Linked DNA regions of Mus musculus. The main gene of each other region encodes a partner of the protein of the gene in region 2 in a complex. Links are inferred from orthologs where the notes say so. Each region holds a gene or a part of one and is shown on either strand. Other genes may lie near its edges.

What was found. Proteins that work in one complex are often made in the same cells at the same time.
Region 1: Arpc1b (region 2) and Arpc5 share a complex: the UniProt entries of both Homo sapiens proteins name them as parts of the arp2/3 complex. The link is inferred for Mus musculus from reciprocal best matches to the Homo sapiens genes ARPC1B and ARPC5.
Region 3: the proteins of Arpc1b (region 2) and Arpc5l are in contact, whole or in part, in a cryo-EM structure (PDB 6YW6), measured with the Homo sapiens proteins. The link is inferred for Mus musculus from reciprocal best matches to the Homo sapiens genes ARPC1B and ARPC5L. Residues at the interface, in NP_005711.1 of Homo sapiens: Arg118, Lys138, Arg142, Phe164, Ser201, Gly203, Trp204, His222, Asp223, Ser224, Thr225, Leu240, Ala241, Ser242, Glu243, Thr244, Leu245, Pro246, Phe281; in NP_112240.1 of Homo sapiens: Asn21, Lys22, Arg102, Gly139, Leu140, Gly141, Ile144, Arg145, Thr148, Arg150, Lys151.

Annotation. Positions count from the first base shown.
Region 1 is NC_000067.6:152,764,985-152,769,879, reverse strand, and holds the start of Arpc5 (actin-related protein 2/3 complex subunit 5), read right to left. Parts: upstream 3,339-4,895; 5' UTR 3,156-3,338; coding exon 3,013-3,155; intron 1,020-3,012; coding exon 947-1,019; intron 1-946. UniProt on the Homo sapiens protein: Component of the Arp2/3 complex, a multiprotein complex that mediates actin polymerization upon stimulation by nucleation-promoting factor (NPF).
Region 2 is NC_000071.6:145,112,682-145,117,491, reverse strand, and holds the start of Arpc1b (actin-related protein 2/3 complex subunit 1B), read right to left. Parts: upstream 3,237-4,810; 5' UTR 3,151-3,236; intron 1-3,150. UniProt on the Homo sapiens protein: Component of the Arp2/3 complex, a multiprotein complex that mediates actin polymerization upon stimulation by nucleation-promoting factor (NPF).
Region 3 is NC_000068.7:39,006,749-39,011,476, reverse strand, and holds the start of Arpc5l (actin-related protein 2/3 complex subunit 5-like protein), read right to left. Parts: upstream 3,339-4,728; 5' UTR 3,282-3,338; coding exon 3,133-3,281; intron 3,127-3,132; exon of another isoform or gene 2,907-3,126; intron 1-2,906. UniProt on the Homo sapiens protein: May function as component of the Arp2/3 complex which is involved in regulation of actin polymerization and together with an activating nucleation-promoting factor (NPF) mediates the formation of branched actin networks.

The DNA.
Region 1 (4,895 bases), on a different chromosome or scaffold from region 2:
AAGCTCTTCTGAGAGATTTGGCAATGCTTTGTGTATCAAAAGTCTTTAAAAAATGTCATTTTTGTGCTAGCATTTCTCTTCTGGGAATTTTATTGACATAAATAATTAAGATTTAAAATGATCAATTTTAGCAGGAAAAACTAGAAAATCTAACATGCAATAACAGGGATCAGTTGCATATAAGATGTTACATACTAGTGTATAGCAGTTAAATGCCACAGAAATAATCTATTGCTAAGGAAAGAAGATCATGTACATGACTACACAGCTGGAGTGTAAGATTCTATTTATTTTTTAAAAGAGCACAAACCCTTGTAGAAACTCCTTAGGTGTGCAGCGATACCATATAAGGCAGTGACTGAGACCCAAGGAATAGCATGGAGATCACCTTTTTAAGCTTGCATGCTTTGTTTTCTATAATATTTACAAAATTAGGAAAAACTATAAGACCCAAGGAAGTAGGACAGAGATCACCTTTTTAAGGTCACGCATGCTTTGTTTTCTATAATATTTAATATTTACAAAATTAGGAAATCAAGAAGCAGCTGTGTGTGTTTGGCAAATTTATTTTTCAAGCCCATTTAAATCCAACCTGAGTGGATTCCTCCTGAAGCACACGCAGAAGTGATGGCTCTATCCTTTAAATTTACTGCACTCCACACGGCACTCTCCTAACTCTACATTTCAGGGCTATTTTTTTCATGACATTTTTACTTGTCACAAGCTCCCTTTAAAGCTGGACGTGGTGGCATATACCTTTAATCCCAGTGGAGGCAGGAGATCTCCTGAGTTTCAGACCAGGTTATAGACTGCGGTTCAGTCTCAAAAGTCACACTGTAAACTCTTGTGTCAAGGACAGGAAATAGGTACAATGTTGACTGTGGGGCATCAAAGGACTTTGCTAATAGTGAAACAGAAGAGATTAATGCTGTAGTCTGAAACTCACCTTCACTGCCTGGCTCTTTGTGTTAATAGGGGGGTTTTTCAGAGCAGCCTGGAGAGCAGCTGTCATGTTTCCTGTAACGAAGGTTAAGGGTGGAACAGAAAAGGATGGCCCCTGCTTTACAGGAATATTGGTTTTTGACTTGACTTTCTGCACAGTAACAAAAGTTACTATGGTCATTATGTTCGATATTAGAAACTGCATGGGTGTGTTTCCCACATGTCAACCAATGGTAAAAATACTGGAATTAAACAATAGATTTAAAAAAAAAAAGCAAAGACTGTTTTGACCTCAGTTCTATCAGTCAAATAGATTACACTTTCCAGTGAGATACACGCAATTGTCTAGATGGGTATTCAAGAAATCTTAAGACTATGTGTTAAGAATTATTAGGTCACCAAATGATGCAGTTTACCAACAAAGTATACCACTTGTCTGTGTGACTCTTGCTGGAAAACAACCCTAGACTTTATACTGAAACTACACTGTGTATTAACTGAAATGCTGGCTGATTATTCTGGCAATCAGAATGGAAGAATAGCTTAATATGAACAGGGCTCTGGATGATGTAGTAACCCGCACGACCTGTAGGTGGCAGCTTACTTTATTTCCTACAGGTTATTCAAACTGGGCTGGACCATCCATACCTACTCAGTCTCTGAAAGCACTGGTGAGTTAGCAAGCAGGGGAAACGGAAGGCCAATCAGACTGTCAGAACAGACAGTCATTTCCCTAAAAGGAGAAACAGAGTCACTGGTTCCTCCATCTGTAGTACCCGACCAATCTGAAGTCTCTCCTAGTTAGAACCAGAGACAATATCTTTATATTTTAAAATGGATTGACAAAAAGGTAGACTGAATTGATAATGAACACAGCAGTAGGAATCACCAGAAATTACCTAAAATACATTAGTTTAATAAAATATCATATATCCACCATAAAGACTAAAAAAAAAAAAAAAAAAAAAAAAAAAAAAAAACCCAAACAAACAAAGAATAAGCTCACCATTTCTGTGCAAAGGGTCTAATAAAAAATTATCTACAGTAGGTAATAAACTACTGTCAAGCCTGCATGGTCTTTTAAAGAAAAAAAAAACCCAAGTATTTTAACAAATAATCAAATTAGTAACAACTGTGAAAGTTATGGTAATGAAAGTTAAACCTATACTGCACATATATGTACGTTTGATGCTGTGGTTACCACTGTTTTTGCTCACTTTCTTCATTATAATCTAGTAGAAAATTGATGAGGGGAGAGCTGTATGAACAGACTTAATGAATACGATTTTTCTAAAGCTCCAGTTTGGATTTTTGTAACATTCTATTTTTCTAAGGGATCGATGCAAATGAATTTCGAGGTTATGAATATTCAGATATGCAAACCAAGGAACCAGGAACTGACAGCCATGTTTTAACTAGAAGGGAAACAATTTCAGAAAAACAATGTTGATTTATAGAACCGACTCATTCTCTGCTTTATTCACTGGGGTTCATCTTATATTATTCCCAGGGATTCTCTGCATGCATTCGCTATCCCTTTTTTAGTGGCCTTTTCTTAGCAGGTGAAAGGTTCCAAGCTTTAACTGGGAATTTTGGAGAAGAAAACTCCCTTCGGCTCGTTCATGAATTATAATGCCACCTTGCCAAAGCCCTTCTCTCTTAATAAACAATGCTGCCGATGAAATAGCCCCGGGGCTGAATGTACCGAGGGCCTCGATTTGCGAACCGCTCCATCTCTCCTGGCTAGGGATAAACTATCCCCGCTCCGCCAACCACACACACCGGACAGGAAAGCAAGACTCCAAGCGGGACGCCCGTGTCCCCACCGGGCAGAGACTGGCTCAGGTGCCCACTAGGACACCAGCGGTGCCCCGGGGAGGGCGCGGCCGCTTAGGACCGCGCACCTGAGGAATCGGGGCGCCGCCGGTAAGTTCGCCGGCGCGGCCGCGGGGTACAGGCGGCCTGCTGGCCCCGGGAGCTCCTGTCCTCCGTCCCCACCTAGAGCCGGGCACAGCCGGTCGCGTGGCCCCGCGTCCCCACAACCCCCGGCCGCCGCGAGCGTAAGGATATTGCCGTAGGCACGAGTCCACCTCGCCCTCGTCGGGCCCGGCCTGGCCATCGCCGCCGTCCTCCTCGTCCACGAACTTGTTCTCGTCATATTCGTCCACGTCCACCTTCCGGAAGCGGGCCGACGACACCGTGTTCTTCGACATCCCGGATCGCGACGCGACGCTGGCCTGCCCCTCCGCGGTGCCTCTCCTTTAGCGAGCCCAGCCCGGTCCGACTCACTTCCCTCTTCCGCTCTGGGGCGTCGCCGGCAGCCGCGGCTTGCAAGCTTCTGGGCCTGCGCGCTAGCGGGCTCGGCCTCCTCCTCTGCTTGCAGCCATCCTTCAGCCCCCGCTCCGCCCCCGCGTCCCCCGGGAGCGCGCGTCGGCAGGGGAGCGCGCGGGACGCACCGCGCACGCGCGGGCCCGCTGCAGGAAAGGGGCGGGGCTGGAGAAGGAGGCGGGGGCGGCGGGTCGACAGAAAGCTGGCAGAGGCGGCGCGGAGACGCGATTGGTCGCCGGGGAGCATCACGTGATGCCCGGGACGTTCCCATAGAAACGCTTTTCTGCGGTCCTGCCTTGCGGGGGGTCTTGGGCTGGAGGCTATGGGCACCTCGGGAGCGTGGCCTGGAGTGCTGCTGCCGCCGCCGCTGTCGGTGCCAGCCGCTGGTTGTTGGGGTCCGGTGTGAAGTGTGGGTGACCGGACTCGCGCGTGGGGTGCGATGGACTGGCTGCAGAACCTAGTCCCCTGCAGTCTGCAGGAGTATGAGGCAAAGTGATGCCCAGCTCGGAACTAGTGATCGGAGCCCTCCATTCGGACCGTGCGCCGCCGGGGGCTGCCTTCCCGAGCTGAGAGCCCCTTCCCCGGCTTGGACTCTTGGCACGCTGTCGGTGGGAGGTCCCCAAGGACGGAATCGAAAAGGTCACTTCTTACCTGTCAGTGCTGTGTGACAGCATCGCGACCGGACCTGCAGAATCTGAACTAGGTATTCTCTCCATCTGGAGGGAGGGAAAAGACGCTTGGGCCAGGTAGTGAAATTGGGGCAAACTTGTAGCATTTTCTAGAATCAGTCATCACATCTTAAAATAAGTAGTTATTTGGAGCAAGAATGCCAGAAGAGGGTGGGCGAGTTAGGCTCTTCAGTGCTGAGGGAAAATAGCGAGTGCAAGGATTAATAGAGACTGGACTTTCAAGGTTGTTATTTATTGTTTAAGGTTCCTGGAAGCACGTCAAATCAGCTTTTTGCTATATTCCATATTCCGGTTTGTGAGATCAGAGCTTCTGTTGAGGAGGCAGAGGCACAAAGATTAATCAAATAATAGCTGTGCTCTGTGTAATATACCGTAGTACAAGTATTTACAGAATAAAATTAATTCAGACATTTGGCTTTGCCCTGCTTCGATGCAGAACCACCTGGTTTCACGTATAGCAGAAGGCTGGATGTCATCCTGTTGAGTTTTCTCGTTTGCTCTGCCGTACTGGAAAAGAGCACTGGGCTTGGGATCAAAAAGCAGGCTGAGTCTCGACTTTTCTGCTCTCATAATCTGCATGATTGAGGCATGTTGCTTAAAAATTGGAACCTTGGATTTCTTAGTACTAAGATGGGGCTAATGTGCTTTTCACAAGGATGTTCCCAGGGCTCAATACGTGGAAATGCTTCGAAAAGACTCTAAAATTCTGCATATGTGTGCAATGTGTTATGGGTTATGTAGCACGAGCTTCATAAACTACCTAATGATAGGTTTTATTCTTGCTGGGGAAAGAGATCCCAAGATTCTGAAGGGCTGAATCTAATTTTTTCTTATGTATCTTTTTTCATATAAAATAAAATTAGGTATTCAGAAGGTAGTTAGTGCATGCTTGATGAGTTAGTGAAATATAAAATATATAAAAACATTGGGAATAGA
Region 2 (4,810 bases):
CTAGGCAGGGGCTCTACCACTGAGCCACACCCCCAGCCCCTCACTGGGGGATTCTAGGCAGAGGCTCTACCACTGAGCCACACCCCCAGCCCTTGGGGATACTTCCTGACCATTGCTAAATGACTTCCACACTCCTGCTATCTGTATCAAGGAATGTTGTGTCGAGGAAAATGCCTGGTTGCATCACAGTGATGTATCAACAACTGGGAGAGGCCCTCTGTGTTCCTAATGGAACAAGTGGTCAGAAAAGCCAGACGCTTCTACCTCAGGACACCCTCGGCTGGGGAGGACCTACGCAGCTCCCTTCCTAAGCCTGCCAGCCAGAGCCTCAGGCCCCTTTGCTGCCAAGGACATTCTTCCAGTGCCTGGGTCCCAGAGTTCCTTCCAAGAGTGCTGGGTTAAAACTCTCCAGCAGGGTGCGCTGCTGAACATCGGAGACAGAGCGGGCTAAGGCTGTGGGATCAGGAGTTTGAAGCCAGCTTGGGCTTCATAGGGAGAACCTGTGATTGATAGAAATGGATGGACGGATGGATGGATGGATGGACGGACGGACGGACAGACAGACAGACAGACAGATTAGATAGGTAGGTAGGCAGGCAGATAGACAGGTAAGGGGCTGGTGAGATGGCTCACCGGGTAAAAGCGCTTGCAGCCAAGCCTGATGACCTGAGTTTGATCCCCAGGACCCAGGAGCGAAGGAACCAATTAAGGCTTCTAACTTGTCCTCTACCCTACCCCCCCCCACACACACACACATAAATAAATATCCTTCGCCCTGGCCCCTTGGCTTTTCTTGGCTGTGTTTCCTTGAATCACACACTCAGTCTGGCTGGATTTGAGACTTAAGCCAAGCCGGGAGTTGCCTGCAGCGAGAACCTTGGCTCCACAGGCAATCCAGGAAGTCCCCGCCTAGCTTGGGAGCTCAGCTAAGTACAGCCAGCAGCAGTTTTTTTTTTTCTTTTTTATGGTGCTAAGCCTTACTCAACTTCCTGTTGTGGGTAGGAGCCTGGGTGGTGTGAGCAACCCTCCAAACCCTCAGTTCCTCTTCTTCCCCCTCCTCTAAACTGTCCTTGAAGACTTACTGAATGAGGGAAAGTCAAATCCAGCAACAGATTAAATAAATTCTAAAATATCGTAAAACACCAGTTTAAAGAACCAAAACAAAAACTTCTCCAAAACACAGAAGACTCGGTGCTAGCAGGGCTGTGGGGAGACCCTCATCTGTTCCATGCCTTTGAAGGGCCGCGTGCTAACTTCTAATTCCAACAGCTTGTATGAGAGCAGACAGAATGTGGGGCTGGAGAGAAGGCTCTTTGCAGAGAACTCCAGTAGCCCTCAACCACCAAATAAATACTCTAGCTCCAGGGGACAGCATTTTCCACCACCCCAGGGCTCAAGTGTGTGGGCGCGCGCGCACCCAACCCATAAAAATACATCTTTAAAAAGAGAACAACACTGATGACCTTAGTAACTTGAAAAAGCAAACTTTTAAAGCCCTCTTTCTTAGGGTTGCCTTACTACAGAAAACCCTTTTTATATCAGTGGGTGACAGATTGGAAAAACCCACATACCACTGAGGAGGCTGGATCACTGGTAGAGCACTTGCCTAGTAAGTTCCAAGGCCCTGGGACCAAGACAGAACAAAATACTTTAATTCTAGTTGGGGTTATTTGTTATTTGAAAGATCCCGAAGTGTGCTCACCTTTAATCTCAGCACTGAGGAGACAGAGCTCTATGAGTTCAAGGCTAGCCTGGGGGGAGGGAAGGAGGAGGGAGGGAGGGGGAAAGAGAGAGAGAGAGAGAGAGAGAGAGAGAGAGAGAGAGAACCCGAGTCCAGGGGAAAGGAGGAGACCCTGCCTAAAAGAACAAAACAACCCAGAGTGAAAAAGAATCACCAGCGTACACCTTTAATCCCAGCACTCGGGAGGCAGAGGCAGGAGGATTTCTGAGTTCGAGGCCAGCCTGGTCTACAGAGTGAGTTCCAGGACAGCCAGAGCTATACAGAGAAACCCTGTCTCGAAAAACCAAAATAAATAAATAAATTTTCATTCACACAGACCTTTGCCTTGCACGCTTCATTGTGTGTCTTTGAGTGCCCATGGGTGTCGGGGTATTCGAACTCAGACCCTCAGGATTCCCCCTCCCCAACTCCACCCCTGTCAGTGCTTTTATTCAATGCTCCATCTCCCAGCCCCGCACATTCTCTTACAGTAGAAGCCCACGTGGTAAATCTATTCCTTTTTTATTGTCCACGTGAAGAAGTTGTTCCCTCCAAGTCGCCCCGCAGGGCTGCAGCTTCGGACCCCACCCCACCCTCCCACCTCATAAGGCCAGGTTCAAAGGAGTGCAGAAATAAGGTCTGCAGCAGCAGACAAGCAGGCACTCTGCCAAGTGTACTAGCCACATTTGGCAGCTAAGCCTCCAAATCTGGAAGGTCCCCATTTTCCAGGCAAGGCAAGTTGAGCTCTAGAGAGGCGAGGTGGCTCGACTGCGTCAGCAGCCACACCGCCCCAGGCTGGAGCTGCCTCGCGGGAACAAGCTTCATGGCCAGCACCTGGGCTGGCTCCCAGTTCAGGATTCCAGCCTATTTGCGGGCCCCACCGGGACCTGCCCTGTCCGGGGTGGCCTGGCTGGGTGCCCCTCGAGCCGCCAGGGTCCGCTCGCCCAAGCTGGGTGGAACCAGGAACCTGGACCCCTGCCGGGTATGGTCACTGGGGGATGAGGCGGGGCAGGGGTGCTAGCTCATTTCCCGGTCGCAACAACCCGGAAGGCTGCGGACCGAGGGGGAAGTGACTGAGCGTGGGGCCCTGCGCCCAAAGTAACGGGGCGACACGGGTCTCGGGGATCGAAAGCGGGGCCAGGAAAGCGGAGAGGGGGCGCGAGGCTGGGGCTGTGCCGTCTCGATGGCGTCGAGTGCGCGGGGAATCTCTGCGATTCTTCCCACCGCGCCCCGCATCCCCAGAACGCCGCCCCCCACTAGCTCCTTGCCAGCCCCACCCTCGCCGGGAGCCCCACCAGGCCCCCATGCACACGGCTCTCCACTCCTCTCTCATCCCCATCCCCCTCACCGTCGAACATCGCCTCGAGTCCCCTGACTTCTAGGTGGCCTCAGACACCACACACACCTCGCGACCACCCCGCGCCCCTCACCTCGGGTCTCCTCGGCCGCGGACTCTGGACAGTCGACGCGCCGAACCGGCTCTGAGACCCGCGCAGCGCCGCAGCCACTTCCTCGTGGGCGGGGGGCGGGGCCTTCGGGCACAGCCCCGCAGGGACCGGGGGCGGGACCCGGGCGGCTGTGGCCAGATCTCAGGGCCCGCCCACCCCTCGGGGTACTAAGCCGCCCGGACCTCAGTTAAGTCCAGCTCAGCCCAGAATTCGTTCGGAGATCGCACGCTGTTGCCCCTAACTACTTTCTGAATGGGGAAACTGAGGCTGGAAGAAGGGGGGGGGCGCTTAGAGGGCGGAAGCCCGAGATCGGGCAACCAAGAATTCAAAGGTTTTGAGGCCACACGCAGGCACCCCGCAACTTAATGACTCCTGCCCCGCCCCTCGCACTCTAGGTGCACCCCAGCCGTGGTTCCCCAGACTCTGTGTCCCAAAGATGGCAGAGTCGCTGGCGTCCAGGAAGAAGAGCACTGCCACTCCAGGTGACTTCTCGCTTCGGAAGTCCACACACTTCCCTCCAAGTTGCTGAGTAGCTTTGCAGTCAGGTGATGATGCTCCAGGGTCAAGGGTCTTCCAGGTTAGGTGCGTCTCAAGTTCCTTTTGCTGTGCCTCCCACCTTCTGAGAGCTCCTCTCTAGACTCCCAGCAATCTCCTGTATCACTAATTCTGGCTTAGAGGTGCCTGTGATAACCCACACCTGTCATCCCAGCACTGGGGAGATGGAGGAAGAGAGATGAGATTCGAGTTCACCCTTGGCTGTAGAGCTGGATGAAGGCCAGCCTGGGTTACATGAAACCCTGCCTCAAAAAAACCAAAGAAATGGGCCAGTAAGATGGCTCAGATGGCAAAGGTGCTTGCTGCCCAGCCTAAGGACCTGAATTGAACTCCCAGCACTGACTTCCACACACATGCCAGCCATAGTGAACTAGAGTGTGTAAACATACACACACACACACACACACACACACACACACACGCAGGGTAAGTAAATAAATTAATACTTTTTTTTTTTTTTTGAGCCAGGGTTTCTCTGTGTAGCCCTGATTGCCCTGGAATTAGCTCTGTAGGCCAGACTGCCCTTGAACTCAGAGATCCGCCTCTGTCTGTGTCTCCAAGTTCTGAGTTCTGGTATTAAAGCAGTGCATCATCATGCCTGGTGTAATAAAATACTCTAAGTTTGGAGCAGTTGCTGCAGTGAACACCCTGCCCATGTTCAGTGATTATGTATATGTGTGTGTGTGTATACACACACACACACACACATATACATATATAATGGTGTTGGGATTCAAACTCAGGGCCCTGCACACACAGCAGACGCTCAGTCACGGAGCTACATCCCCAGCCTTCACTTAAGTCTCCTTAAGTTTCTGGGGCTGGACTTGAAGTTACGTAGGCCTTGAGCTTGTGATTCTCCTGCCTCAGTTCCCCGTGCCACCAGACCCACCCAGCTCAGTAAGATTTAGCTCAGGTTTCCACGAGTCATCCTCCTGCCACAGACACAGAGGAGCCATGATCCTGCGCCCCCTGCTTTGCTGTTCCTGTAGGTTTGTATCTGTAGCCCTGTGGGTCAAGGGCATCCCTGGCTGGCAATCTGTCCGTGCTCGCTCAGCTCCATAAAAGCCCAGCAATGGCCCCAGGA
Region 3 (4,728 bases), on a different chromosome or scaffold from region 2:
ATAGAACAAGGAATGACTCTGCCCAATCAGGTCTTTACTTTTGACCATGCAGCAATGCCCATGTGTGAACAGCTAGCCTCTGGTGCAAACCTGAAGTCCCAACTTCCCTAGTGAGTACCATCTTGAAAAGCTATTCTGTACCACCAGGCAAGTCACTTCCTTACCATGTTGGAATGGACCTACCTTACAGAGTGGACAGGTGCCCCACCCTTTATCTTTAGTTTTCTTTTTCTTTTTCCTCAGACAAACAAGAACTAGTCCTGATACAGCCACTGATAACCCTCCACCCCATAACTTTTCTAATTCAGTATCCCCAGGCAATAAGCAGGGTCCCATAAAAGCTTAACAGTACACATGAACTAACAATCATTTCATTCACAAAAGAGATGAGAGGGAAAGGCAGAAATGATGTAACTAGTCCACAAGGATGAGAACGTTAGGCTTAGCACTGCAGCCTGTCAAGCAGCCACTGACAACCAAAGGCTCACAAATGCTGGGTACAAGAGGAAGCAGAGAGGCACCTCTGCAATCATGTTTACTAACTAGCCTCCATACCCAGATAGTGTCCAATAGCTTCAGACAACAGGCTGAAGAACCCACCAGACCATTCTCAGCCATGGCCATTTTAAACCAGATGATTCTTTGATGTATGCTGCAGGATATTTAGCAACCTCCCTGGCCTTTACCCTAAAGTTTCCAGTAACATCCTAAAACTATCAAAATGTCACCAAACACTGCCAAATTTCCTTGAGGAGGGGTGAAAAAAACTACCAAATCACTCAAAACCACTGCTCTACCTACAGTCCTACTTGAAGGACCAGAAGCTGTTTCACTGAGAAAGAAAATGAACTACAATGGTACTTTAAAACCGCTGGAGTGGAGGGAAAAAAAAATCCTCCCTGGGGGTTTTGGATCCAGGACCAGATACAGTCACATCTCACCTTATTCTACAAACCCTCTAGGACAAGAGCCTGACTTCTGCCATAGAGATAATGAAACTGAGACAGAAGGGAAATTACTTGCCCAAGGTCACAAAGCTACAATTCAGAGCTGCCTTTCAAATCCAAGCCCTCTCTACAATCCCCTGCCCCTCCTACAACCCGGGCCCAAGTTTTGGAGTACACCTGCTGTGTGTTTAGTGGTACACCTGTTGAGGTGGTAAGACCAACATAGTTGTCTCTATCATTTAAGAATGCTGAGGTTCGGGCTGGTGAGATGGCTCAGTGGGTTAGAGCACCCGACTGCTCTTCCGAAGGTCCAGAGTTCAAATCCCAGCAACCACATGGTGGTTCACGACCATCTATAATGAGATCTGATGCCCTCTTCTAGTGTGTCTGATGACAGCTACAGTGTACTATATAATAAATAAATAAATCTTTTAAAAAAAAAAAAAAAAAAAAAAAAGAATGCTGAGGTTGAGAGAGTGTATGACCAGCAGAAGGTTAAAGCAGGTTAGACAGTGCCTGTGTGGATGCACAGCAGCTTTCTATTTCCACACTCTGCTCTTCCACAAACAATTCCCAGCACAGGCCTGAGACCACCACCACCTAATGTCCCCCTAAACCTCTTCACTATTCTCTCCTAAGACTCACATGAGGGTCTATAGACTGAATGCAATGATTAGCACCTGATAGGGACTCAATTACTACTTCCATCCTTCTCCCTACCTGGGCCTGACATCTGCTAGGGTTTCACTCTCCTCTGCTAGCCTCCCTTCTCCCAATCCCGAGAGGTACACTCTCCATAGTAACAAGGCTTCTGACACTGCCATGAGTGTAGAAGCAATCTCTTCTATAAGCTAAGCCAATGCCTCTAAGCTGCCTAAGAAAGAAAGAAAGAGAGAGAGAGAAGAAAAAACAGCCAGGGACTTCAGCAAGGCCCAGCAACAACACCAAAGCAGAAGCTGACAGATCCCAGTCTCTTCATCAATATAATTAGGATTCTGGCCCAAATGCATCGTTCTGGAGCCTTGTCAACAGTACCTGCACATAAACCAGTCAGTACCCTGCACCATTCTAAAAACCAATCTTCCCTCTAGGGGCCTTCTCATGACCCAATTTAACCATCAGAATGGTGCAGGAAATAAGTTTGAAATCTCCACATTTCAAAAACATATTCTTGTTCAGTCTAAAAGGGTTGTTTTCAAGATATATTAGAGGAGCACTATAGGACTCCTCCCAAAAGCGGTACACCTGACTTCCCAGGCTGAGTCAACTGATTAAACAGCCAGAACCTGATTTATATACAGCAAGAGCCTCCAACCCTACCCTGGCAAGTGCGGGGGAGGGGTACACACTTCCTGTCAAGCTATTTGAATAAAGAAAAAAAAAATCTTCCTGTGAGAATAAATCAGTTTCCTGTGGTGCTCAAACTGCTAAGAGACCAAGCCAGCTGTGACAATCACCTCTATTTTTACTCTTCTGTTCTAAATGCTTGTTTTCTGTGGCCACCAGCAGTCATTTTCAGTCGTGGGGAGCCACTTTTACATTTGACACTGTATGGTGTTTTTGAGCTCTGAATCACTAGCTTTTTCCACGCTTTCTGCACAAGGCGGTTAATGGCAGAGTCGCATTACTTGTTGAATGTACTTGGTCCATAAAGGCGCAAAACCCAACGTGCTGAGGAAAGTGGCGACAGGTGAGAAAAGGTAGCAGGCCATATCACACCTGAGGGCTGGACCTTAAAGCACACCTCCCCCACCTCCGCCCTCTAGTCAGTCTTCCTCCAACCATCCACCCACCTATTTTCACGCCGGGCTACAATCGGGCCCAAGAAAGCCAGTTAGACAAGCGCAGTAGGGCAGTGGCCCTGGCTGCTCAATGAATCCAAGGTGGTTCACCTCGGTCCCTCCTGAGGGCAGCACCTGGGAATGACCCCGCTTACTATAAGGAGGGATAAAGGGATACCAAGGCCGATGCACGGACACCCAGAAGGATGCGGAGCGCAGCAGAGCAGAGGGAGAGGAGCTCCAGGGCTGCGCTGCTGAGAAAGGCGTAAGGCCAACCACAGACCGGGAGAACCTGGGACTGACAGGAGCCGGGAGGGGCTGGGGTTGGGCGGAGGACCGGGAGACTGGGGCTGGGGTGATCAGGGTGCGAAGGCCGAGCCGGGCCGCCGCGCCGGGAAGGATATTGCCGCAGGAGCCCGTCTACCTCGCAGGGGTCGGGGCCTGGCTCGCCCGCCGCCGCCGCTGCCTCTTCGTGCTCGTCTACGAATTTGTTCTCGTCAAATTCGTCGATATCCACGCGGCGGAAGCGTGAGGACAGTGTGTTCCGGGCCATGGCGGGAGCGCGGCGGCCACTCAGCCGCCTAGGCTTCGCTCTTTCCCGGCTCCCCTCCGCACCGGCTCCGCTTGGGGGCGGGAAGCGGCCGCCAGGCACCGCCTCCCCTCCTCCGCGCGCAGCCGCCGTCGCCCGCCCACTTCCGGGATGCGCCGGAACCGGAAGCTCTTGTGGGCGGAACTGCGCCGTGGGATCGTGGAATGCTGATGAAGTGGTGTCAGGCGTTGCAGCCGTAACTCTGTCCTCTCCGAAGCCGGGCTGCTGGTATAGCCAGCGCTTCTGTCCGCTCCGGAGGAAGAAATCTTAGAGCTAAGGGATGGCAGGGAGTGACGCGCAGTGCCGGAGTCTCTTAAGCACTGACCCACAAGAGGACCCACTTTGTTAAAAGTAAACGGCTTTAAAGGCGTTGATGTGTAACCCAGGGGCTGGCAGGACGCTTGATAACATCCTTTCTTGAGGATGTAACGACTCCTGCGGGCGTTCCGAAAATTAAAGAGGATTCTGTGGCCACCTGTACTCCTGACTGAAGAGGCATATTTTAGGAGGCGAAAGCTGCAGAATCCCCAGGATTCTTTCTATTTCAGACGTAGGCTAAAATGAATCTTTTCTTGTAACTATATGAAAACTATTTAATAAAAAATATTAAAAAAAAAGAAAACTATTACATTTTAACCTAGTAGAACTCGAGCAAAAAAAATTAGGTGAGACATGGTTTTGCTCCTGCTACACATAGCGAGTAATGTGGCACATGCCTTATTCCAGCCCTTAGGAAGCAGTGGCAGGGGGTTCTTGTGAGTTCTAGATAGTTTTGACTACATAGTTCTAGATCAGCCAAGACTACAGAGTGAAACCCTGTCGGGAAATTTAAAAAAGAAAAAAAGTGCTATTCTTGGAGACCTGGGTTCAGTTCCCAGCATCCACATAGCAGCTCACAGTGCTCTGCGACTCCACCTCCAGGGAGATCCAGTCACCTCTGCCGGCACAGCACATACATGGTACATGTAAAATTTAAAAATGTAAGGGCTGTCTTAATTACATCAGGGATGGCAAAGTACAGTGCCTGTAAGTTTTTTGTCTTCAAAGATGGGGAATGTAATTGGGAATTCAAAAATATTGTGAATCCTGGGTTTAATCCTAGCACTACAAAAAATGTCCAGAAATATGATGTATATTTGTAACTCTAGTAGAATCCTGGTCATCTTTAGACTTCCATTTAAAACTAATCCACACTCGGTTCATTTCTCCTTATCCCATTTACAAAAGGCTTATTCATTCTATCCAACCAGTATCCCCATCCTGGGCCTGAAAAGCATTAAACCCTCAGAGACCTTCAAGACTGGCTCTGGAAACAGGCACACAAACACATGGCTTAACTCAGCTTGGTACTTAAGAGCACTTAGGATACAAGGGTACGCTGCTACACTTGGGATGGGAGGTGACTAAAAAA